Stegostoma tigrinum: one gene and its partners. The protein of the gene in region 1 interacts with the protein of each later gene in a pairwise test. Links are inferred from orthologs where the notes say so. Each region holds a gene or a part of one and is shown in the gene's direction. Other genes may lie near its edges. The genes, in order: stub1, hspb1 and olfm3a.

Region 1 (7,413 bases):
CAGCCTGAAAAACAATCAAATTACACTGGTTTTAATCTTACCAGAAATGGTAAAAACCAAAGGAAGAATTTCTGTTATTTTGTCTGTGAGCAGTTACAGTCTCTAAAGGGCTTGGTTAGTTCAGTTGGCTGGATAGCTAGTTTGTGATGCAAAGTGATGCCAACAGTGTGGGTTTAATTCCTGCACTATGAAGGACTCCCCTTCTCAAATCTCTCCTCAACTGAGGCGTGGTGGTCCTCACGTTAAACCACCATCTCTCTCTAATGAGAGCGCAGCTTTATGGTCTGATTAGATTATGGCAGCTTTTCACAATTGTAAAGGGACAATGGGTATCTCCCTCTATTCTGAGACAAGTGGTTATAACTTGAAGTGCACTACCCCACTTCAAGAATGATTGATTAGGACGCATTCCTGCTTTTTCACGGACATGTTGAATAGATTAGCAGGTTAATTATTAAATTCTTCCCATGGCTAACAAACCACAAAGTGATACAGAACACAGTTTTGCATTTCACACCCACTTAGTCTGGGAAGCTTTGGACCCCAGATAGTCATAGTCCATGGAAGCAGACCTTTTGTTCAATTAGTTTACAACAAGTTTCCCAAACTAAAACTTTCCCACTTGCCTGCATTTGGCCCACATAAACCTCTAAACCTTTTCTACTCATGTACCTGTCCAAATATATTACAAATGTTGTAACTGTACCTGCACCCACCACTTCCACTGGCAGTTTAATCCACATGCGAGCAATCCTCTGTGTGAAAAGTTGCCAAAGAGGTTCTACTGAATTATTCAATAGAAACTAATTGCCATCATACAACCAACTCCAATTCATTTTTAAAATAATTCAGAGTCTGTTTCAACTGTTGTGACAGCAATTGTACATTATTAACAATATCTTCCAGGATGACTCTAAACAATAGCATTTAGTGTAGTTTAAATGCTGTATTATTGTATGTACACTGTTTACCCAGGGCTTGTTTTGGTCATGGTGCAACAGCACTACTCACTGCACCACAAGACTTCCCCCGATCCTCTGTAAAAGGAAGGGCTGGTCTTCTGGATTTAAACATGAAAGAGAGCTCCTCTAAAGCCCTGGAGTAGCAGATTTGATCCCAGCCTGCGTAAGTCTCAGGCCAGGAACCAAGTATGGAGGAGGGGATAAATAAGTATCCCCATCCTTGAATACTAATTTGAGGTACAGAAACATCCAGAAACAACCTTGGTGTTTAATATGTAAATCCAACCCTACATGGCAGACTTACTGTCAGTTTCCACTCCATCAACTGAACCAGTTCTGCGTGAGTGAGGAATTTCTCTTTGCGACTACAGAGAGCTTCTGGTAATTCTTCTTGATACCTGAGTTGGAGAAGAATCAGCAACCAGATTGCTCATAAATACATGTGAGTGAGCAAACATTTTAAATAACCTGTTCATTTCCTTATTACAGACCAAACACCATTTGCATTTTTATTAAAATGACATCCTAGCTATTAGTTAATACATTGATTGCACTAGAGTATTTTGTCAGTCTGCTGACCAATAGTCTTCCCTTAATCAACACCATCAAAACTCAATTGTTCGCTTGTATCATTTATCAAAAATTTGTATCTATCAAAAACAAGTATGACAGACTGCAACTCACCCTCAGATCAGTCAATTATTACAATCTGTTAAATGGAAGCTGCACTTTAATGGATTTTATATTGTGAACTAATGATGGCTGGATCTCCTGGGCCTCAGCAACTTTGGAAAATAAATAGAGCTCAGAAAAGCTCGATTTAAGCAATAGAGCATTTACAACAATGGGCCAGGACTGGGAACATTTTCTCCAGGTCTGATAGTATTGACACTATAAGCTGCCCTGAGTGACCATCAGAATCTTTGACCTTTCATCTTTATAACCTCCTGGCTGAGTTTTCCGAATGTTCTCATATGCCAGCCTCCCCATAGGTATCATTCTTAAAATACTTTGACTGAGGCAGCTCATGTTTGCATCCACACAAAGGTTCATACTCCCCTCATAGAATGCCTACAGTATGGAAGGAGTCTATTCAGTCCATTGAGTCTACACCAACCCTGCAAAGAATACCCCATCCAAACTCAATCCCCACTCTACTCCAATAACCCTGCATTTCCCATGGCTGATCCATCTAACGTAGACGTCCGTGGACACTGTGGGCAATTTTAGCATGACGAATCCAACTAAACTGCAAATCTTTGGACTGTTGGAGCAAGCCAGAGCACCTAGAGGACATCCATGCAGGCTGTGCAAACTCCATGCAGACAGTTGTCCGAGAACAGAATCAAACCCAGGTCCCTAGCGCTGAGGCAGCAGTGCTAACCACTGAGCCACCCTGCTGCCCTGTCACTCCTATCACGATCAGACTCTAATCAATTCTTGGTGCCGGATTGAGTCAATTTTCAATAGTAATTTAATAATTTTAATTATTTGAGCACTCGAGGATATTCTGATTAATCGCGGTTACTTGTTAAACAACTTCTCTAAAGAATAGAGCCATAAATCCAGGTCAAAATTAAGGGTTAATGGTTTCATTGCTGTTTTGTGGCTCAAGCTAATGTACACTGTGAAAACACGTGAAAAAATGCACTCAAAGACACAGCTATGCTGTAAAATTATAACTTAAAGTATGCATAGATGAATATAACACTGGTGAGCACTGTCCGGTAAGAGGCAGGCTTAGAAAATATGGAAATTCTCTGACATTCAACCCATTATGAAAATTCAATCCTTAGTCTCAGGCCTAAGTACTTAAATTTCCCAAAGAACTCAAATAAACGTTACAATATGAGTTGTCTCTAGTCAACCCTCCACTTGCCCTTCCCCAAAAGTAATTCATGAGCTGTTGTCTTTTAAATTAGGGAAGAAAGCTAAACAACTCACCATTTATCCAGTGCAGTCAGTTTGCCTGTTTTCTTCCCTTTGGATGCCATTGCCTTGGCTTCAACCACATCCCCATAGAGAGCAAAAATGGACCTCCATACGGTAGGATTCTTGCAGTTAAACAATATTTCATGTCCGGTCATGTTACTTTATTCATTAAGCAGTTTCAACCTGCAAATAAAAATGACATTTATAACTGCACAAATGTTGTTGCACTAATCATTTTTGAAACACAAACCTTAGGGATGTACAAATCAGAAGCAGTAGGTCACTGAGTGCCTTGAGTCCATAGAACATTCAATATGATTTGATCATTCCACATACCCACCTCCCCAAGACAACATTTCACCACCAAGTGGGAAGGAATGATCCAGTGGTGTTATCACTTGACTGTTAATCTAGGGAAACCCAAGTAAGGTCCCTAACCCTAACCCTAACCTCTCTGATGAAGGGTCTAGGCCCGAAACGTCAGCTTTTGTGCTCCTGAGATGCTGCTTGGCCTGCTGTGTTCATCCAGCCTCACATTTTATTATCTAAGGTCCTGGGGACCTGGGTTTGATTCCTAGCAATGCAGACTTTTAGAACTTGAATTCAATAAATATCTGGAATTATGAGTCTAATGTTGACCATGAATCCACTGTCAATTGTTGTGGGAAAACCCATCTGATTTGCTAATGCACTTTAGGGAAGGAGATTTCCATCCTTTTCTGGTCTAGACTACATGTGACTCCAAATCCACAGTAATCTGGTTGACTCCTAGCTGCCCTCTGAGCAATTAAGGGTGGACAATAAATGCCCACATCCCATAATGATTTAAAGAAAACAATCAATATTCAGGGACTCTACTGCCACGGTTTTTTTGGCAGAGTTCCAAAGACCCGCTGTGAAAAAGAAATCGTAGAATTGTAAACAGCTTGAGGAAAAGGCCCTTCAGCCCATCATAACACTGCTAGTCATCAGACAACCATCCATTCGTTCATTCTAATCCCATTTTCCCGCACTTGGTCCTTAGCCGTCTAGATTTTTTTTTTATCTGAACTTGTTCACAGACGTTATTAGGCACCTCCGGAGCAGGTGGGGCTCGAAGCCAGGACTTCTGGCCCAGAGGTGGGGACACACCACCCGCACCAATAAAGGTTCCTGTGTGCTCCAACGTTTCAAATGTTCATCCCAAAACGTCTTCAACGTGCTGAGGGTTCCTGATTCTTATCATCCTCCTCAGGCAGTCAATCAATCACAGTCGCCACTCTCTGGGTTAGTTAATATTTACCCCGACTTTATAAGTTAATGGTATCAATCCTGGTCACACAGCGGCGGAGGGATGGAGCGGTTATGGGGAGGAAAGGAAGATTTCCATTATCAAGATGGCGGCGGTCCTGCTTCACGGGGGCGGCTACCGTCGCGTCCTGAATCGCTCACTCGGCCGTAGCGGCGCCAGGAGATGAGTTCAGCGGACGCGGCGGCGGACGACACGGGCGCCCGCCGCGCCGGGAGATGCCGTCACCGGGCGCGCTCACGTCGGCGGCGGATGACGCCGTTGTGCGCGGCCGGTTGCGTGCGGTTTGTACACAAACAGCGGGCGCCGCTCCTCGGGCCGATTCCTCCTCGCCCGGTGTGTCCCGCCTCTGAGCGCCTGAGGCCGGCCTCATTCCCCCCGGAGGTTCCTCATATCAGCGCAGCCGCCCCTCCCCCGACCACTGGGCCTAGGCCTAGGACTCCCCACACGCTCCCTCACAGCCTGGGGACTGTCCTACACCCTCAGGCCTTCCAGCAGCTGCGGGGAAGCCGGGTTTTACTTCACCCCCTCTCTCTCTTTTCCCCCCTGTGTCCTGCTTTCACCCGGGGTGCGGGGGGAGGTAAAGCTGCAGCATGTCCGGAAGCCCCGAGAAGAGCCTGACTGCTCAGGAGCTGAAGGAGCAAGGAAACCGCCTGTTCCTCAGCAGAAAGTATCAGGAAGCCGCGGCCTCCTACAGCAAGGCTATTGTGAGTATCTCGGCCGGTGCCGGGGAGAGGCCACGGAACAAAACCTCTTCACCCCCCGAGCTCATGAAATGCCCCTCATTCATTATGCTTTGTCACTCCTGCTTTATAATTTTCGAATGCCAAACGCCAGAACGAAAGGGTTCAGGTGACCCTTCAGGATGAGCAGTCATGCCCTGGGTCTGCTTCTAAGATGCTGCTTGGCCTGCTGTGTCCATCCAGCTTTACACTTTGTTATCTCAGGGTCTGGTTATTCGGTGCAGCTATATGACTCAACGCCGACGGCTCAAAATCCAGCAGATATAAGCGTTTAATTCTGTGCGTTTGTATGCCTAGAGGGATTACCTGAATCAGAAAGTAGATGACTATTTGAAAATACGTCTATGAACTTGTTGCATCAATTCGTAGGACTTGTGTATACAAGACTGTCTGTGTCTAAGTGATGAATCTTGGAATCTGTGTGATCAGAAATTACCTAAAGTTGTTCCTGGCTGTTTATAATGCTGTTGAAAGCATTATTAGATCACAGTATTGTAACAGGCTCTTACTTCTGTATGTGTCTTTTTACACTCAGCCATTTTGATATTGTGGTATTGGTATAAAATGCAAAGCTCTGAGGAGGAATCAGTGTTTGGAAAAGTATGTACTGTAGATAGGTCATATAACTGGGTAACTGTTTAGTAGATGGAGTACAAGGTGGAAAAACGTGTTGTTTGATGGGAAGAATAGAAAAGCAGTATGTTATTTAAATGGAGAGAGACTATAGAATGGTGTCGTACAAAGAGACCTGGGTGCCCTTGGACATGATTAACAAAAGTTGGCATGTGGATAATTAAGGTTTCAAATAGGATGTTGGAATTTATTGCAAGGGGCTGAAGTATAAAATGTCTAGCTGTTCCTGCATAGGACATATGTGGTACCGCAGTTAAGTATGAATGCACTTTTGATCTCTGTTTTAGAATCCCTACAGTGTGGAAACAGGCCATTTGGCAAAACAAGTCTACAGAACCCCTCCGAACAACATCCCACCCAGACCCATTCCCCTAATTTCCCACATCTAACACACCTAACCTAAACATCCCTGAACACTATGGGCAATTTAGCATGGCCAATCCATCTAACCTGCACAACTTTGGACTGTGGGAGGAAACCTGGAGGAAACCCACGCAGACTCGGGGAGAATGTGCAAACTCCACACGCAGCCGTCAGAGGGTAAAATCGAACCTGGGCCCCTGGTGCTGTAAGACTGCAGTGCTAGCCACTGTGCTGCCCCTTTTGCCAGGAATGTGCTTGCAAATTGTGAGCAGTTTAGAGAAGCTTCTCTAATTTGATTCCTGGAATGAAGGGCTTGTTTTGTGAGGTAAGATAGAGCAGGTTGGCTCCTGTACCCACTTGAATTTAAGAAGGTGAAAGGTGATTTTCTCGATTTACATTCAGAAGTGGCTTTTCAGGTTAGATACTAAGAGGGTGTTTTTTTCCCTCATACGGGTGACTAGAACTTGGGGCAGAGTTTCAGAATCAGATGTGTGTCATTCAAGATAGAAAATAATTTACATTTCTAAGGGTTATTAATCCCCGGAATTGTCTACCACAGTGGAGCAGTGGAAACTGTTATTAAATATAGTTAAGCTGGACAGTTGAGCTGGACAGATTTTTGACCCCAAGGGAGTCAAAAGTCATCAGGAAGGAAAGTGGAATTGTTTGCAATCAGATCTGGCAGATCTAATTGAATGGCAGACCAGGTTAAAGGGAAGAATGGCCCGGTTCTGTTCCTGTCTCTTATATACTTGTGTATAGTGCTATTCTGGTCCTGTAAATACTGAAGTGTTTTACTCTTTCTTTTAAAAAAAAACTAGTCACTTGCAGTAATTGTGCGCACGTGTGCGAGTGCACCATTATGCTTAAGATCACAACAGTAAAGTTTAAAAAATTCATTTTGCATCACTTCTACATGATTCAGTAATGGAACCCTTCTCACAATGCATGACTGTCAGACGAGTTGGTAATTGATAGAATTATGCAGTCAAGGGGCATTGTGCTGGCAGACCCTTGATACGTAAATCTTTTAGGCTGTGTGATCATTGGATGCTAAATGTGGTCGATTGCCTTTTTTAACAATTTTTACAAGATCATTGCATTTGAAACAAAGCACACAAGATATGACAATGAATATGGTATTTCTTTATTTCTGGCGAGTGATTCAATTTTTCTTTCTTAGAACAGAAAGAATTGATCCTCGTTATTCAGTGTTGACTGTTTTCATAGTTCAGTGCCTTCACCTCTTACTCCTGTTAGTCTATGTTTGAAGACACTCTGATGGCTCAATTCTTTTACTGATATTTTGGCATCTCTTTGGCTCTGCTTTCCCTATGATATTGAAACTTTGCTGTTTCGATGTTCAGAATTCGAGCTGGTTCTTTTTATTTTGTACCCTATCCCTCCAGAGATTAGTGACATAAAGTTTGTCAATGTTTTGAAGATGTTTCTTTTGCCTTTTGAGTTATAGGTCGCTTATGGATTTTTTTTG
Region 2 (7,770 bases), on another chromosome or scaffold:
CATTTCCAAAGAGGTTTCCTGATGGCTAATTTGTACGACGATCTTGGTAAGCTCTCAAACGTGGAGAGTCAGACTGTTAACATGACGTTTAATGAGCAATAATAAGCGTCAATTTGGAACTCGCTGCTGCCTAGTGAGAATCTTGCCATACTGCTGTGTAAAGTCCATGAGATGCTGAGAGAAAACCTTGACACTGAGACGGGCATCACCAAGCTTCTGGCCTGATTCTCCCACTCACCTCTCCACAGCCCACACCACTCATACCCTGGTAAGATTACACCCAATGTTTCTATTACCCTTCCTGCCTCCACCCACCTCAATTAAATCCTCACGACTGCCTTATTTATTCTATGCTCTTGAGCCAGTTCGAGTGAAAGATGCTTGTTACTGTCCAAAGTGAAAGCTTTATTTGAGTCCAGTTCCTGTACTAGATATAACCCGCATTTAGAGTGATCCAAGTGTTCAATAAACTGAGCTTGTGATGCCCTCTTTTCCTATAAAAGCTGAGCATTGCTCATCTAATTCAATATCCCTCAGTTTCTATCAGGTCTGCCATGATCCAGAAAAATACTCCACTTTTTCACTTGGGCAAGGTCATTACTCCTGATTTCATTATTGAATGTATTAGTTAACAGCTAAATATACATTTCCTAGTTTTGGATAAATGGAAACATTATTACATCAAGAGAGATTGGAAGAACTGCAGATGCTGGAGTCAGAGATGACATAGCGTGGAGCTGGAAGAAGACAACAGGTCAGGCAACATCAGAGGAGCAGGAAAGTTGACATTTCGGATCAGAACCCTTCTTCAGAAAGGCCCCCGACCCGAAACATCAACTTTCCTGCTCCTCTGACATTACTACATCAACATTTCTTCCCTTTAAAGATCTTTATTCACTTCCTCCCCAAGAGTGTTGGACGAGGAGAGCGAACATTACCCCTACTAAATCCTTAATTCTGATTACAGAGGTTACCTTCTGCTTTCGGCTATCGCAGTCTCACACAGGGCTTCCACAAAGTTGGATCATCCTTCATAAGGGCCCTCAGGAATTGCTGGATGCCTGTCCCTTGCTGCTAACCACCCTCACTAATTATAGGCTGGGAACAACTCCAGCAACACATCAACCACATGCCTGGTCTGGTTGCTGGGCTACCACACATTGTTGATACATAAGCAAATAAATACATTTCTAATCAAGTGATAGAATGCCTCTCAGAGGAGTTACAAGAAAATGCAAAATTCCCCTACACAACATTCCAGAGTGTTGCAATGTCACTGGGCTAATAATCTATCAGCAGACTCACCGCCGCAATAGAATCGAGTTTGGGCCGGTGCGGTACCCAGTGGCGTCAGTGGTGTCTGCATTGGCAGGGTCCAGTGAGGCCTCATAGTGGTGAGGGTGTTGGTGGGTGCAAGACGGTGCCACAAACTGGCGACTTTTGTTCCAGGAGCAGCAACATGGCGAAGGCAACTCATGCCTGACTACCAGGCCCATGGCCCATGGCGGTGCGCTTAACAAGGAGGACTGTAAAGTTGAACACTTTTTCTCTATTTCTTTAGCTTTTCTACCTTTTATTCTATGTTTTGGTTTATTTGGCTGTGCATTAAGATTGCATTGAAGAGTGGTGACACTGTATTACACTTTTCACATTATTTGTAACAAAGTACATGCAAAAATAAATAAATCAAGCCAAATCCTAACTGCCCTCTGAAATGAAGAGGCAAACCATTCAGTTAAAAGGCAATGAGGGATGGGTGAAATGCCCACATTCCATGAAAAAGAATACAGAAGATTATCACACCAGTCCCAGATCCTGGAAGTGAATTTTCCAAGTGCATTGGCAGCTCACTCTCATTGCTCCGAATGGATCCTTTTCATGAGTAGATTTGTAATCACTAATTCAGGTGTAGTCTCTCTATGTAAGGTGGGGCTGCAGGCTGCAGAGGTAGTCAGGCCCACCTGGGATGTGAGTTTCAGCAGAGCCTGAGGCAGATGCATCTATAGTGCCACGGTAGCTGTCAGTCTAAGGGGACAGACCCTGAACAACAGGGTGATCAATCTGTTAACTCGCGTGTTACACAGGAGTTGACAGGCTTTTTCGCTCCCCGACCAGACAGCCGGTGTTACAGGTGACCAGCAGTGAAACAGATAGAGAGAGACAGCCCCAACAGATTTGGGGAAATAACACAAAGGCGGATTTGTAATAAAGTGGATGGCAGCCGTGATGACATGTCCAAAGTAATGACGGTCCAAGAATAAAGGATGTGACTTGGACACATGCATCGAAGCTGGGCCCAGATGATGTGTAGATAATTGCAGTAACATCTTGCCATTTGCCAAGATTATGTTCCTCAGAGACTTTGTGAGCAGTGTTTTGGTCAAAGACTGCATATTTTGCCAAATTCTTCACTAGGTGGAGCATTGCAGTCTACCAGAAGAAAGACAGTTGCATTACATCAATTGCAAAACTAAAAGTGTCTGAAATTCATTCCAGGTAGTGAGCAAGGAACCAGACCAAAACAATTTTTGACAGTATCTTTTCGACTTGTTGTAAGATCCATGAAGCACAGCAACAATCATTAACAGACTGTCCGCTTCTTGGCAATCTGCACTTTAGACTAGATTACCTTTGGGCTGCAGGTTTAACGTCACACTGCACCTGTATGGAGGCCAGGTGTTGACCAGTCACCAGGCATGCTGACTTGCAGTGAAAGTTACAGACTGATTATAACTGTTGCTGTATTCTCCTAGATCTTGCAACTAGTCTAAAATTGAATGCTGTGCCGGCATGACATTGTGGGAGTGACTGCGAACGCACAGACGGTGCTGCAGAGTAGAGACTATTGCTCCAGTAGCAGTGACACAGCGAAAGCAGCTCATGCCTAACTACCAGGCCCATGGTCCATGGCAGAGCACATAACAAGAAGGAAATGATTTTTGCATCGGGAATAGGCACTGCACTTCACTAGTCGTGAACATGACATTCCATGTGTGCACAGAGCAAGATGTATGAGCAGTGCAGACGGATATACTGCATAAAATGGTTGGCAGTGTTACATTATGCACAGTACGAGGTGCATGCGCAATGCAAAATGCGCTTGCAGTTATACGTGCTGTGTCTTACACGTTTAGTGCGAGTTACGTGTCCGTGTGTGAGCTATACGCAAATGCGAGGTTTTGCACTTTGGAAAAAAGAATACAGGCATGGACTATTTTCTAAATGGTGAGAAAATTCATAAAGCCGAAGTACAAAGGGACCTGGGAGTGCTGGTCCAGGATTCTCTAAAGGTTAACTTGCAGGTAGAGTCCGTAATTGAGAAAGTGAATGTAATGTTGTCATTTATCTCAAGAGGGTTGGAACATAAAAGCAGCGATGTGCTTCTGAGGCTTTATAAAGCTCTAGTTAGGCCCCACTTAGAATACTGTGTCCAATTTTGGGCCCCACACCTCAGGAATGACATACTAGCCCTGGAGCGTGTCCAGCGGAGATTCACACGGATGATCCCTGGAATGGTAGGTTTAACGTATGAAGAGCGGCTAAGGATCCTGGGATTGTACTCATTAGCGTTTAGAAGGTTGAGGGGAGATCTAATAGAAACTTACAAGATAATGTATGGTTTAGAAGGGGTGGACGCTGGGAAGTTGTTTCCATTAGGCGGGGAGACTAGGACACTTGGGCACTGCCTTAGAACTAGAGGGGGTAAATTTAAAACGGGAATGAGATGACATTTCTTCAGCCAGAGAGTGGTGGGCTTGTGGAATTCATTGCCACGGAGTGCAGTGGAGGCCAGGAAGTTAAATGCCTTCAAGACAGAGATTGATAAGTTCTTGATCTCACAGGGAATTAAGGGCTACGGGGAGAGTGCAGGGAAGTACATTCGAAATGCCCATCAGCCATGATTTAAATGGCGGAGTGGACTCGATGGGCCAAATGGCCTTACTTCCACTCCTATGTCTTATGGTCTATATGGGTAGCTCAGTGGCTAGCACTGCTACCTCACAGTGATACAGAGTGAGGATCAATTCCAGTCGTGGTTGACTGTCTGCATGGCATTTGCACATTCTCCTTGTGCTTTTACAGTCCAAAGATTTGCAGGTTAGGTGGATTGGCCGTGCTGTAGTGCCCAGGGATGTGCAGGTTATGTGGATTGGCCATGTTGTTGTGCCCAGGGATGTGCAGGTTAGGTGGATTGGCCATGCTGTAGTGCCCAGGGATGTGCAGGCTAGGTGGGTCAGCCAGGGTTACAGGGATAGGGGAGTAGGGAGGTTCTAGAGGATGTTCCTTGGAGGGCCGGTTTGGACTTGATGGACAGAATGGCCTGCTTTCGCACTATAGGGATTTTCTATGAGTTACAGGTGCAGTGCAATATGAGATGTTTGTGCACGGTGTATTTTCTGCCTGCAGGAAGTAAGTTTTCTTTTCATTTATTTTCTTTAAAAACCTGGAGAAGCCCAGATTGGGTGCAGAGTGGCCAGAATCGTACACACAGTCCGTTTGGGGACCGGATTTTACTCTAGCCCAGGGAGGGAAGTCGAAACCCAAACACCAACTTCCCAATCAGAGATTTTCAGAGCACAGAACGAGGTTGTTGGGCCCATCCTTACTGTGCTGGCCCTCTGCAAGTAAAGCAACTGAGCTCCTGGCGCTTTGTCCCGGGGTGTGTACATGGGTGCAAGAGGGAGTGTTGTGTCTAGTGTCAACAAGCTCATTTTCCAAACTCTGATCCAGACAATCGGAGAGACCATTCGGGAATCCTGGAGAGCTTGAATTCCGCACCAATGAGGGCAGACCCTGTAATCGGACTCGGCTGGAATCTGATTTAAATATAGCCCGGGATATAAAAGCAGCGCCGTGCCACACTTCTGGCCCAGCGTTAGCCCGGCTCTGCCTCTCTCTCTCTCTCTCCCCCGCTGCCGCGATGTCCGAGCGCCGCATCCCCTTCAGTTTCATGCGGAGCCCCAGCTGGGATCCGTTCCGGGACTGGCACTACCCCGGCCGGATCTTTGACCAGTTCTTCGGGATGCCAGCCTTGCCCCACGACTGGTCGGCCACCGACTGGCACGGCATGTGGCCGGGCTATTTCCGACCGTCCCTGGCGGCCCCGAGCGGGGCAGCGGCTCCTGCCAGCGGCCAGGACAGCGGCTTGAGCCGGCAGCAAAGTACAGGAGTGTCCGAGATCAAAGTGACCTCAGATAAGTGGAAAGTCAGCCTGGATGTCAACCACTTTGCCCCGGAAGAAATCACAGTCAAGACCAAGGATGGGTACGTGGAGATCACTGGTAAGCTCCCTCCAGATCTCTTCATTTGTAGTCTTGCTATTTCCAACTTTCCCCAAATACTTTTCAGAGCCCCTCATTGGGTTAGTCCCTGGGCCAAGAGTTTTGAGTCCCTGAATTCCATCACCACCCCACCCAACCTTCACTTTCCTGTTGGACTGGAGTTAGTGTAAAGCCCAGTTTTTAATTTTTCTTAAATTATATATTGTTTAGCCAGTCTGCTGTCGGGAAAGTCAGAGGGCCCAGGATTGCAAAACGAGGGTGTTCCTGGCCAACGGCCCAGAGCCCAGGGGAAATTACTTCGCTCAGCCCCTTGTGGGTGTTGGGATCTCAGTACTCGGAGAGTTGCATAGATTGGAGGCTTCTCTCGGGGAATCGAGGGGTATTGAGTGTGGCTGGGAAAGTGGATTTGAAGCCAGGGTTGTATTTAATGGCAAAACAGGCACGATGGGCCGAATGAGCTACTCCTCTCTACTTGTTGTGTTCTTCTGTGCCCAATTCTGCTCGCACCTCTTTCGGATGAATGTAACGTCTTACAGGAGTGGGCTTGGGGAAGGAAGATTTGTGAGAATGAATTGAGGGATGGAGGAGTAGTTTGATGCCCGAGGGAGGTTCAATCACGATGCCAAGGAAGCAGGTGTTAACCTGCAATATCCTTCTAATACGCCTTTAGCAGGCAGCAAGAGGGTGAAGATCTCCTTATCTGCTGTGCCTCATATGGAAGGGCATCTCTCAAAATTGCTTCTGGAGTGAGGCTGGTGACATGTTCTGGGAGGAACAAATCATGTAAATGGATTTTTGGGGATGTAGGTTTCACCAGTTGGACCAGTATTTATTGCTCGTCTCTAGTTCTCCTTCAGAATGGGAAAATCTGCGGGCCAGTTCACCTGGCTTTTGAAAATGCTGGAATATGTTATTAAGGGAGTGTGAACAATGTGCATGGCAAATCATAGTTCATAGACAAAGTAAACATAGTTTTATGAAAGGGACGGCATGTTTGACAACTAATTGGATATTTTGCCCATCTAACCAGCGGTGGGGAACCGGTAGATGTAGTGTACTGGGATGTGAGCTTCAATAAGGTACCACGCGTAAGGTGCTATTATGTAGGTGAGGGGTTTATGGAGTTGGGAGCAATAGGTATTCTAATGGTCAGATCGCCCTTGCTGAAGTCGAAATGGAAGTTGCATATCAAGGCCATGCAAAATTCTCAAGGCAGCTGGCTCCAAGGGAATTGCACTGGAACTTGGTATTATTATTGGCAAATTCCCTGCATCAAGATAATTCTGAAAAAGTCCCTTGAAGTCGAGAATTCAGAGGGTTCAAACTCCATAGGCCCACAGGTTATCCAGGAAAGTTTAGAGGATTAAAACTTGTTTTAATACCTGGGTAAATATTAATCTGAACTTCCTGACTATGCCCACCCCAACCCAACATTCACCCCCGTCACCAACTCCACCCCATCTGATCCAACACAGCTCCCTAACACAACCCCAACACCCGCATATGACCCAACAACACCACACTCCTTCCAATCTGACCAGATACCATCCATACCCACTGCCATAACACTTGCAGAGACACCAGAACCAAAATGCCTCTTCTTAACACAACCCCTCCTCCACGTGATCAAACACTCCACCTAATCCGATAACACCCTCAATGTTTCGACTTAATACCTTCCTACCCCTCAACTGATATCTCCCAGTCTGACCCAACATAACATCCCAGTCATTTTCCCAGCCCCAGCTCCAACCTGAACTGAAATGGCAATCTCTCCTAAGTACTCATCCTCCTGTGAGGCACTCCGGGACTCAATCTATCTGGCTTCTTTTTCAGCTTGCACATCTGGCATTTTACCCACTTCTTCCTCCCCTGGAACCCTACCTACCTGACCCTAACTAATCTGTGACTTTTCCCCATTACCCACCTGGCTCATGCCCCCCACTCACTGGGACTGGTCCCTCCTGCTGCCCCTTCAAGTATGTACTTACCTTTCACAGTAGATTTCAAAGTGCCTGCTGACCATTTAAAATGAAGACCAACGCATTAAGTGCTGCAGAAGGTGATGTAGTTTCAACAAAAACCCTTTGCACTTCGGGATTTGAGGCTTGCTTAGACTGGCTCATACCAAAAGGCTCTAGAACAGAAATCTCCAGGGCAGAAGTGGGCATTTTTAAAATTTGATCGGGGTTGGAAATAGGGTTTCTGTCTCTGACTGGGGTTGTGGTCAGATTTTTCAGCCTAACAGGAAACAGAGAGATGGATAAGACCTTTTCGAGATGGCAAGCTGGGACTAGTAGAGTATTGTTCATTGCTGAGCCTTATCAATTTACAATCTATATTTGTGACTAGATGAAGAGATTGAGATTAATGTATCTACACTTGCTGACAATACAAAGCTGGTTAGAAATGTAAACTGGAGGCAGCAGTGAGACTGCATTGGGAGACAGAAAGCGGAAGTGAATGGGCAACATGATGGGATATAATG
Region 3 (7,309 bases), on another chromosome or scaffold:
CATCTGCCAATGTGGTATACTGCATCCACTGTACCCGGTGCGGCTTTCTCTACATTGGGGAAACCAAGCGGAGGCTTGGGGACCGCTTTGCAGAACACCTCCGCTCAGTTCGCAACAAACAACTGCACCTCCCAGTCGCAAACCATTTCCACTCCCCCTCCCATTCTCTTGATGACATGTCCATCATGGGCCTCCTGCACTGCCACAATGATGCCACCCGAAGGTTGCAGGAACAGCAACTCATATTCCGCCTGGGAACCCTGCAGCCATATGGTATCAATGTGGACTTCACCAGTTTCAAAATCTCCCCTTCCCCCACTGCATCCCTAAACCAGCCCAGTTCATCCCCTCCCCCCACTGCACCACACAACCAGCCCAGCTCTTCCCCCCCACCCACTGCATCCCAAAACCAGTCCAACCTGTCTCTGCCTCCCTAACCGGTTCTTCCTCTCACCCATCCCTTCCTCCCACCCCCAGCCGCACCCCCAGCTACCTACTAACCTCATCCCACCTCCTTGACCTGTCCGTCTTCCCTGGACTGACCTATCCCCTCCCCACCTCCCCACCTACACCCTCTCCACCTATCTTCTTTTCTCTCCATCTTCGGTCCGCCTCCCCCTCTCTCCCTATTTATTCCAGTTCCCTCTCCCCATCCCCCTCTCTGATGAAGGGTCTAGGCCCGAAACGTCAGCTTTTGTGCTCCTGAGATGCTGCTTGGCCTGCTGTGTTCATCCAGCCTCACATTTTATCACTCTAGTCTTTTTAACCTTTCCTCATTGCCAATGCCCTGGAGACCAGGCAACATCCTGGTGAACCTTCTCTGTACTCTCTCCAAAGCTTCAATATCCTTCTGTAATTTGGTGACCAAAACTGCACACAATACTCCAAATGTGGCCTAACAAGGGTTTTATATCACTGCAACATGTTTTACCAACTCTTGTACTCCATGCCCCAGCCGATGAAGGCAAGCACGCCGTGTGCTTTCTTAATCACCTTGGCTACCTTGGTTAGCACTTTTAGGGAACTGTGGACCTGCACACTCAGATCCATCTGAATGTTAATGTTTCGAAGGGTTCTGCCATTTACAGTGTAATTCACACCTAAATTTGATCCTCCAAAATGCATCACCTCACATTTGTCGGGATTAAACTCCATCTGCCATTTCGGTGCCCAAGTTTCCCATCATCCATATCCTGTTGTATCCTTTCACAATCATCAGCACCATCAGCAACTCCACCAATCTTCATGTCATCGGCAAACTTAATATTCAGGCCATGCACATTTTCCTCCAGATCATTTATGTTTACTACAACAGAGGACCTAAAACTGATCCTGGGGACACCACTAGTTACTGGCCTCCATTCTGAAAAACACCGTTCCACCGCTATCCTCTGTCTTCTGTGACCAAACCAGTTTTGTATCCATCTAGCCAGCCCACCCTGAATTCCGTGTGTTTGTACCGAGCTGCCACTTTATCAAATACATCGCTAAAGTCCATATAAACTACATCCACAGCCCTCCCCTCATTGAATTTTTTAAGAGGTATCAAAGATAATTAATCAGGTTGGTGCGACATGACCTTTCCTGTACAAAACCATGCTGCCTGTCACTAACTAGTCAATTTTCTTCCAACTGTGCATATATCCTGTCCCTGAGTATCTTCACCAACAGCTTCCTCACCACAGACTTCAGGCTCACTGGTCTGTAATTCCCTGGATTATCCTGCTTCCTTTCTTAAACAAGGGAACAACATTGGCTAATTTCCGGTCCTCTGGAGCCTTGCCTGTGGTAAAAGAGGGTGTGAAGATATCTGCTAATGCCCCATTTATTTCAACCCTTGCCTCTCTTATTTAACTAACTGGTGGCTTGATAGAGGTGTACAAAATGATCAGAGGTATTACTAGAGTAGACAGCCAGAGACCTTTTCCCAGGGTGGAGGTAGCTATTATGGGGGGACATAGTTTTAAAGTGAGTGGAGGTAGATTTGGGGAGATGTCAGGGGTAGGTTTTTTACTCAGAGAGTGGTCGGGGCATGGAATGCATTGCTGGAGAGGGTAGTGGAGTCAGCCTCATTAGGGGCATTTAAGTGACTATTAGATAGGCACATGGATGATAGTATTAGGTAGGGGTCAGATAGACCTTAGGTTTAGGTGAAAGGTTTGGCACAACATAGTGGGCCAAAGGGCTTGTACTGGGCTATGTTCTATGTTCTATGTTCCAGGTCGCATGTGAGTCTGGGGTTTTGTCTACTTTAATGCAATTAAGGATACCCAAAACATCCTCCTTTAATATATTGATATTCTCTCGAGTATTCACACATTCACCCCTGACTTCAACATCAGTCACGTCCTTCTCCTCAGTGAATACCGATACAAAATACTTATTAAGGATCTCACTCACTTCCTGTTGCTCCACATATAAGTTCCCTCCTTTGTCTTCGAGGGGGTCTACTCCTTCCCTTGCTACCCACTTTCTTCTAATATATGCATAAAAGCCTGGGGATTCTCTCTGACCCTGTTTGCTAAAGATATTTCATGGCCTCTTTTAGCCTTCCTAATTCCTAGTTCTTTCTTAATTTCTCCAAACTCCTCAAGGCGTTGGTCAGTTTGTAGCTGCCTAGACCCAGAGTATGCTTCCTTTTGACTAAGTTTACAATTTCCTTCTCATCCATGGTTCCTGGATCCTGCCATTCCTACCCTTCAGTTTTGCAGGGACATGCATGTCCCGCACTTTAATCAACTGGTCTTTAAAAGCTCCCCACATGCCAGACTTGATTTGGTCCAAAAGAATTATTGGTGCTGGAAATCTGAGACAGATCGAGAATGCTGGAGAAGCTCAGCAGGTCTGGCAGCTTCAGCGGAGAGAGAAACAGTTAACATTTTAAAGGTCAGAGACCATTGAGTTCTGAAGAAGTCATTGGACCTGAAACATTAACTCTGTTTCTCTCTCCACTGTTGCTGCCAGGCCTGCTGAGTTTCTTCAGCATTCTCTGTCTATCTCAGATGTCCAGCACTAACAGTTATAGAGTCATGCAGCACACAGACCCTTCCATCCAACTCTTCTGTACACAGCAGACCATCCCAAGCTGACCTAGTTCCATTTGCCAGCATTTAGCCTATATGCCTCTAAACCCTTCTTATTTATACGCCCATCCGATGCCTTTTAAATGTTGCAGTTGTGCATGCCACAGGTCATTTTTAAATCTTTTCTCTCTCACGTTAAACCAATGCCCTCCCTAGTTTTGGACTCCCCCGCCCCAGGGAAAATACCTTATCTATTTACCCTATCTATGAGCCTCTAGATTTTATAAACCTCTATAATGTCACCCCTCCGTTCTTCTTTTGTGTCAAACTCGGGAGTAAAATTATTTAAAATCTGAATATTTCTGCTAAAAGGCAAGATAATTGTACTCAAGCACTGATGCCTGTTTGGATTATTTTCGGTCCAGTTTCCATATGGGCAGATCTGTAGCCCGCTCAAACCTGGCGGAAATTCGATCCCATTTTTCCTAAACTGCTCTCTCTGATCCTGGGCTCACAACTCGCCTGGATGGATCATCTGCAAACATTCCCTGCGGTCGGGTCAAAAGTTCTTCAACAGTTAAGGATCAGGATTTAGGCTGAGTCCAGCGCTACGTCTGGTTGGAGCGTGAGAAGACAGGGGCGGTGAGACTGGGAGAGGGAGAGGCAGGAACTGGGGATGTGATTCACAGAGACAGAGAGATACAGACAGAGAGAGAGAGAGAGAGACGGGTGGGAGGGGGTGTCAGAGAGAGAGGGACAGACAGGGAGACAGAGACACACACACACAGAGTAATGTAGACACAGAGGAGGGAGAGAGACAGAGCAAACCCAGAGAGTGAGGGAGAAAACTCAACAGAAAGAAAGAGAAATAAGACAGAGAACTACTGGCACTGACCGAGCGGTGGGGGGGGGGGATTGGGGACTGGCACTGACCGAGCGGGGGGGGGGGGGTGGATTGGGGACTGGCACTGACCGAGCGGGGGGGGGGATTGGGGACTGGCACTGACCGAGCGGGGGGTGGGGGATTGGGGACTGGCACTGACCGAGCGGGGGGGGGTGGATTGGGGACTGGCACTGACCGAGCGGGGGGGGGGGGGATTGGGGACTGGCACTGACCGAGCGGGGGGGGGGGGTGGGGGGTGGGGACTGGCACTGACCGAGCGGAGGGTGGGGGGAACTGGCACTGACCGAGCGAGGGGGGGGGGGGGATTGGGGACTGGCACTGACCGGTTAAGGCGGATACGCTCGGCTGAGCCAAGCTCAAGATGCGGATACGGGCTGCATGCTGGCGAGCCGGGCTCCTGCTGGTCCTGGTGGGCTTTGATGGGTCCCGGGTAAGTGACCACAGCGGTGGCGGCACGGAGTGAGATCTCCCCCAGTGCTGTATTACCCTGTGTGTCTGTGAGTGTGTCTGTGTGTGTCTGAGTATCTGTGCCTGTGAGTGTGTGTCTGTGAGTGTCTGTGTGTCTGTGAGTGTGTCTGTGTGTCTGAGTGTGTCTGTGAGTATCTGTGTGTCTGTGTCTGTGTGTCTGTGTCTGTGAGTGTCTGTGTGTGTGTCTGCGAGTGTGTTTGTGAGTGTATGTGTGTGTCTGTGTGTGTCTGTGAGTGTGTTTGTGTGTGTCTGAGTGTGTGTCTGTGTGTGTGTGTGTGTGTGTGTGTGTGCATCTGAGTGTGTCTGTGAGTGTCTGTGTCTGTGTGTCTATGTGTGTGTCTGAGTGAGAGAGTCTGTTTGTGTCTGTGTGTGTGACTGTAAGTGTGAGTCTGTGTGTGTGTCTGAGTCTGTGTGTGTTTGTGTATGTATCTGTTTGTGGGTCTGTGTCTGTGAGTCTGTGTGTGTGGGTCTGTGTGTGGGTCTGTGTGTGTGTGTGTGTGTGTGTGTGTGTGTGGATCTGTGTGTCTGTCTGAGTCTGTGGGTCTGTATGTGTGTATCCGTGTGTGGGTCTGTGTCTGTGAGTCTGTGTGTGTGTGTGTCTGTGTGTGGATCTGTGTGTGCATCTGAGTCTGTGGGTCTGTGTGTGTGTATCTGTGTGTGGGTCTGAGTCTGTGAGTGAGTGTGTGTGGGTCTGGGAGTGGATCTGTGTGCGAGTCTGTGTATGTCTCTGTATCTATGTCTGTGTGTGTCTGTGTATGTGTGACAGTGAGTGTTTCTCAGTTTCTGTATGTACCTGCATGTGTTGGGTGTGTAGGTGTCTTGTGTCCCTCTGTGTCCGGCTGTATTTCCCTTTGGAAGTCTGTTTCTCTCTCACTGTGTCTCTCCCTGTGTGTATCTGTGTCACTCTCCCTGTGTGTATCTCTCCCAGTCACTCTCTCTCCCCCTGTCCCTCTGGCTCTGTGTCTCTCTCTCTCTGTGTCTCTCCCTCTATGGGTATGTGTCTATCTCTCTCTCTCTCTCTGTCCCTCTGTGTCTCTGTGGGTATCAATCTGTGTTGTCTGATTTACATCCGACAGGACACCACCCCTCCCCACCCCACCCCACTTTATTCCGATTGTTCTGGCTTTATCTGAAATACAGACTCATCATCTGGTGGATGACAGGATGATTTAAATAATTCCAGTAATGTTGACCGGAGAAAACGTTCGTGTTTTTCAGTATTGCCCAGAGAGTGCGGGGTTCTCAGCGGGAGTGAGGGAGAGAGCCCCAGAGCCAGGTGGACCCGGGTGGACCCTCTTTCAGCCTGATACCCACACACAAATCTTTAACCCCAAAGAAACGGACGTTGAGGCATTCGGGGGCTGGGGAGAGGGTAGGGTTTGGGGGTGTGCTGGCATCCGGGGATGATCAGGGTGGAAATCGTGTCCAAGGGGATTGCCCCGTGGGAATGGTGCTGGTTTGAAAAGCGAGTGCTGGTACAATGGGACGAATGGCCTCCCCCGGGGTAACAAATCTGCGATTCTATGATTTTTATTTTCAAAGATTTCTCCCTGTTTCTAACTGGCGACAATGGGGCCTTCATTTCCCATCCAACCAGAGGCTGTAAATTAAAGATTCAGGTTTGGTGATGTTCCTGACCCTGGTGAATTGTTTAACAACAAGAACATGCACTTATTGAGTATGATAACATCCGAATCTGTGTCAAAGGAACATTATCACAAAAGAAAACAACGGAAAACAAGCAAAGGATACCAGGTTCAGATGTCTGAACATCGGCTCAGGTCCAGGGACGTTCAGGAGAACAGCCAACGAGGGGAGGGTGGGGTGGCTGAAAAGTCCAGAGTTGGAGCAGTACAAAGGTCCAGGTTGGTTGAAGATGAGACACAAAGAGCAGCAGACTATGGGGAGAATGCGTTTTTCTTGCAAAGGTTCTGCACTGTTTGAGGATTCAGTGCCTGTACTGGGAGTTTAGAAGGACCAGGGTTCAACTTTTTCCAACAATTTCCGAACCATTGACATCAGACTAACTGGCCTGTAATTACCTTGAACAAAGGAGCCGCCTTAGGTATCCTCCAGTCATCTGACACTTCACCTACGTCCAGCAAAGTATTAAATATCTCCACCAGGGCCCCAGCAATCTCCTCCATTGCCTCCCATAGCATCCTGGGATACATCTTCTCAGGCCCTGGTGATTTATGTACATCCTTATTATTAAAGTTAACACTTCCTGGAGATTCACCATCCCAACCGAAATCCCAGGTCAAAATGTCTTTCGCCTTTGTGAACACAGATGAGAAATATTAATTTAAGACCTCCCTGATGTCCATTGGTTCCACACACAGATTGCTGCTTTGTTCTCTAATAGGCCCCACTCTTTTCCTGGTTATCCTCTTACTCCTAAAATAATTGTAAAATGTCTTGGGTTTTCCTTAATTTTATTTGCCAAAGATGTTTTGTAGCCCTTCTTTGTATTCTTAATTTCTTTTATAAGCAACTGCTACACTCTATAAGTTTTAAATACCACTGTGCCTGACATATTGTTCCTTTTTTTTTAAACAAATTCTCTATGTCCCCTAACATCCAGGGTTCCCTGGATTTGCTGGCCTTGTCCTTTGCTTTTAGAGAAGCACACTGGCCCTGGAAATCTCACGAGACTACTTTCAAAAGGCTTTCCAAATTTGACCTACCTGCAAATAGCTGTTCCCAGTCAATGTTTACCAGATCCTATCACATTATTGAAATTGGTCTTTCTCCAATTTAGACACAACTTCTCTACTACCCCTATCCTTTTCCCTAATGACTGAAAGTTATCCCCAAAATTCTCACCACTGGCGATCCAACCCTTTGATTAACTACACTCCCGAGGATTAGGTCTGGCACTGCCCTATTTCTTGTCAGACCATCTAGGAAATAC

Evidence for each region.
Region 2: the proteins of stub1 (region 1) and hspb1 interact in binary tests that used the Homo sapiens proteins (3 or more experiments, as listed by UniProt). The link is inferred for Stegostoma tigrinum from reciprocal best matches to the Homo sapiens genes STUB1 and HSPB1.
Region 3: the proteins of stub1 (region 1) and olfm3a interact in binary tests that used the Homo sapiens proteins (3 or more experiments, as listed by UniProt). The two-hybrid records come from large-scale screens. The link is inferred for Stegostoma tigrinum from reciprocal best matches to the Homo sapiens genes STUB1 and OLFM3.

The regions. Positions count from the first base shown.
Region 1 is NC_081376.1:48,038,508-48,045,920, reverse strand, and holds the start of stub1 (E3 ubiquitin-protein ligase CHIP), read left to right. Parts: upstream 1-4,395; 5' UTR 4,396-4,775; coding exon 4,776-4,889; intron 4,890-7,413. Other genes in the region: uncharacterized protein zgc:112496, read right to left, coding at 1,267-1,360, 2,907-3,049. UniProt on the Homo sapiens protein: E3 ubiquitin-protein ligase which targets misfolded chaperone substrates towards proteasomal degradation.
Region 2 is NC_081380.1:6,802,372-6,810,141, forward strand, and holds the start of hspb1 (heat shock protein beta-1), read left to right. Parts: upstream 1-4,696; 5' UTR 4,697-4,921; coding exon 4,922-5,282; intron 5,283-7,770. UniProt on the Homo sapiens protein: Small heat shock protein which functions as a molecular chaperone probably maintaining denatured proteins in a folding-competent state. Plays a role in stress resistance and actin organization.
Region 3 is NC_081361.1:103,514,636-103,521,944, forward strand, and holds the start of olfm3a (noelin-3a), read left to right. Parts: upstream 1-4,231; 5' UTR 4,232-4,288; coding exon 4,289-4,357; intron 4,358-7,309.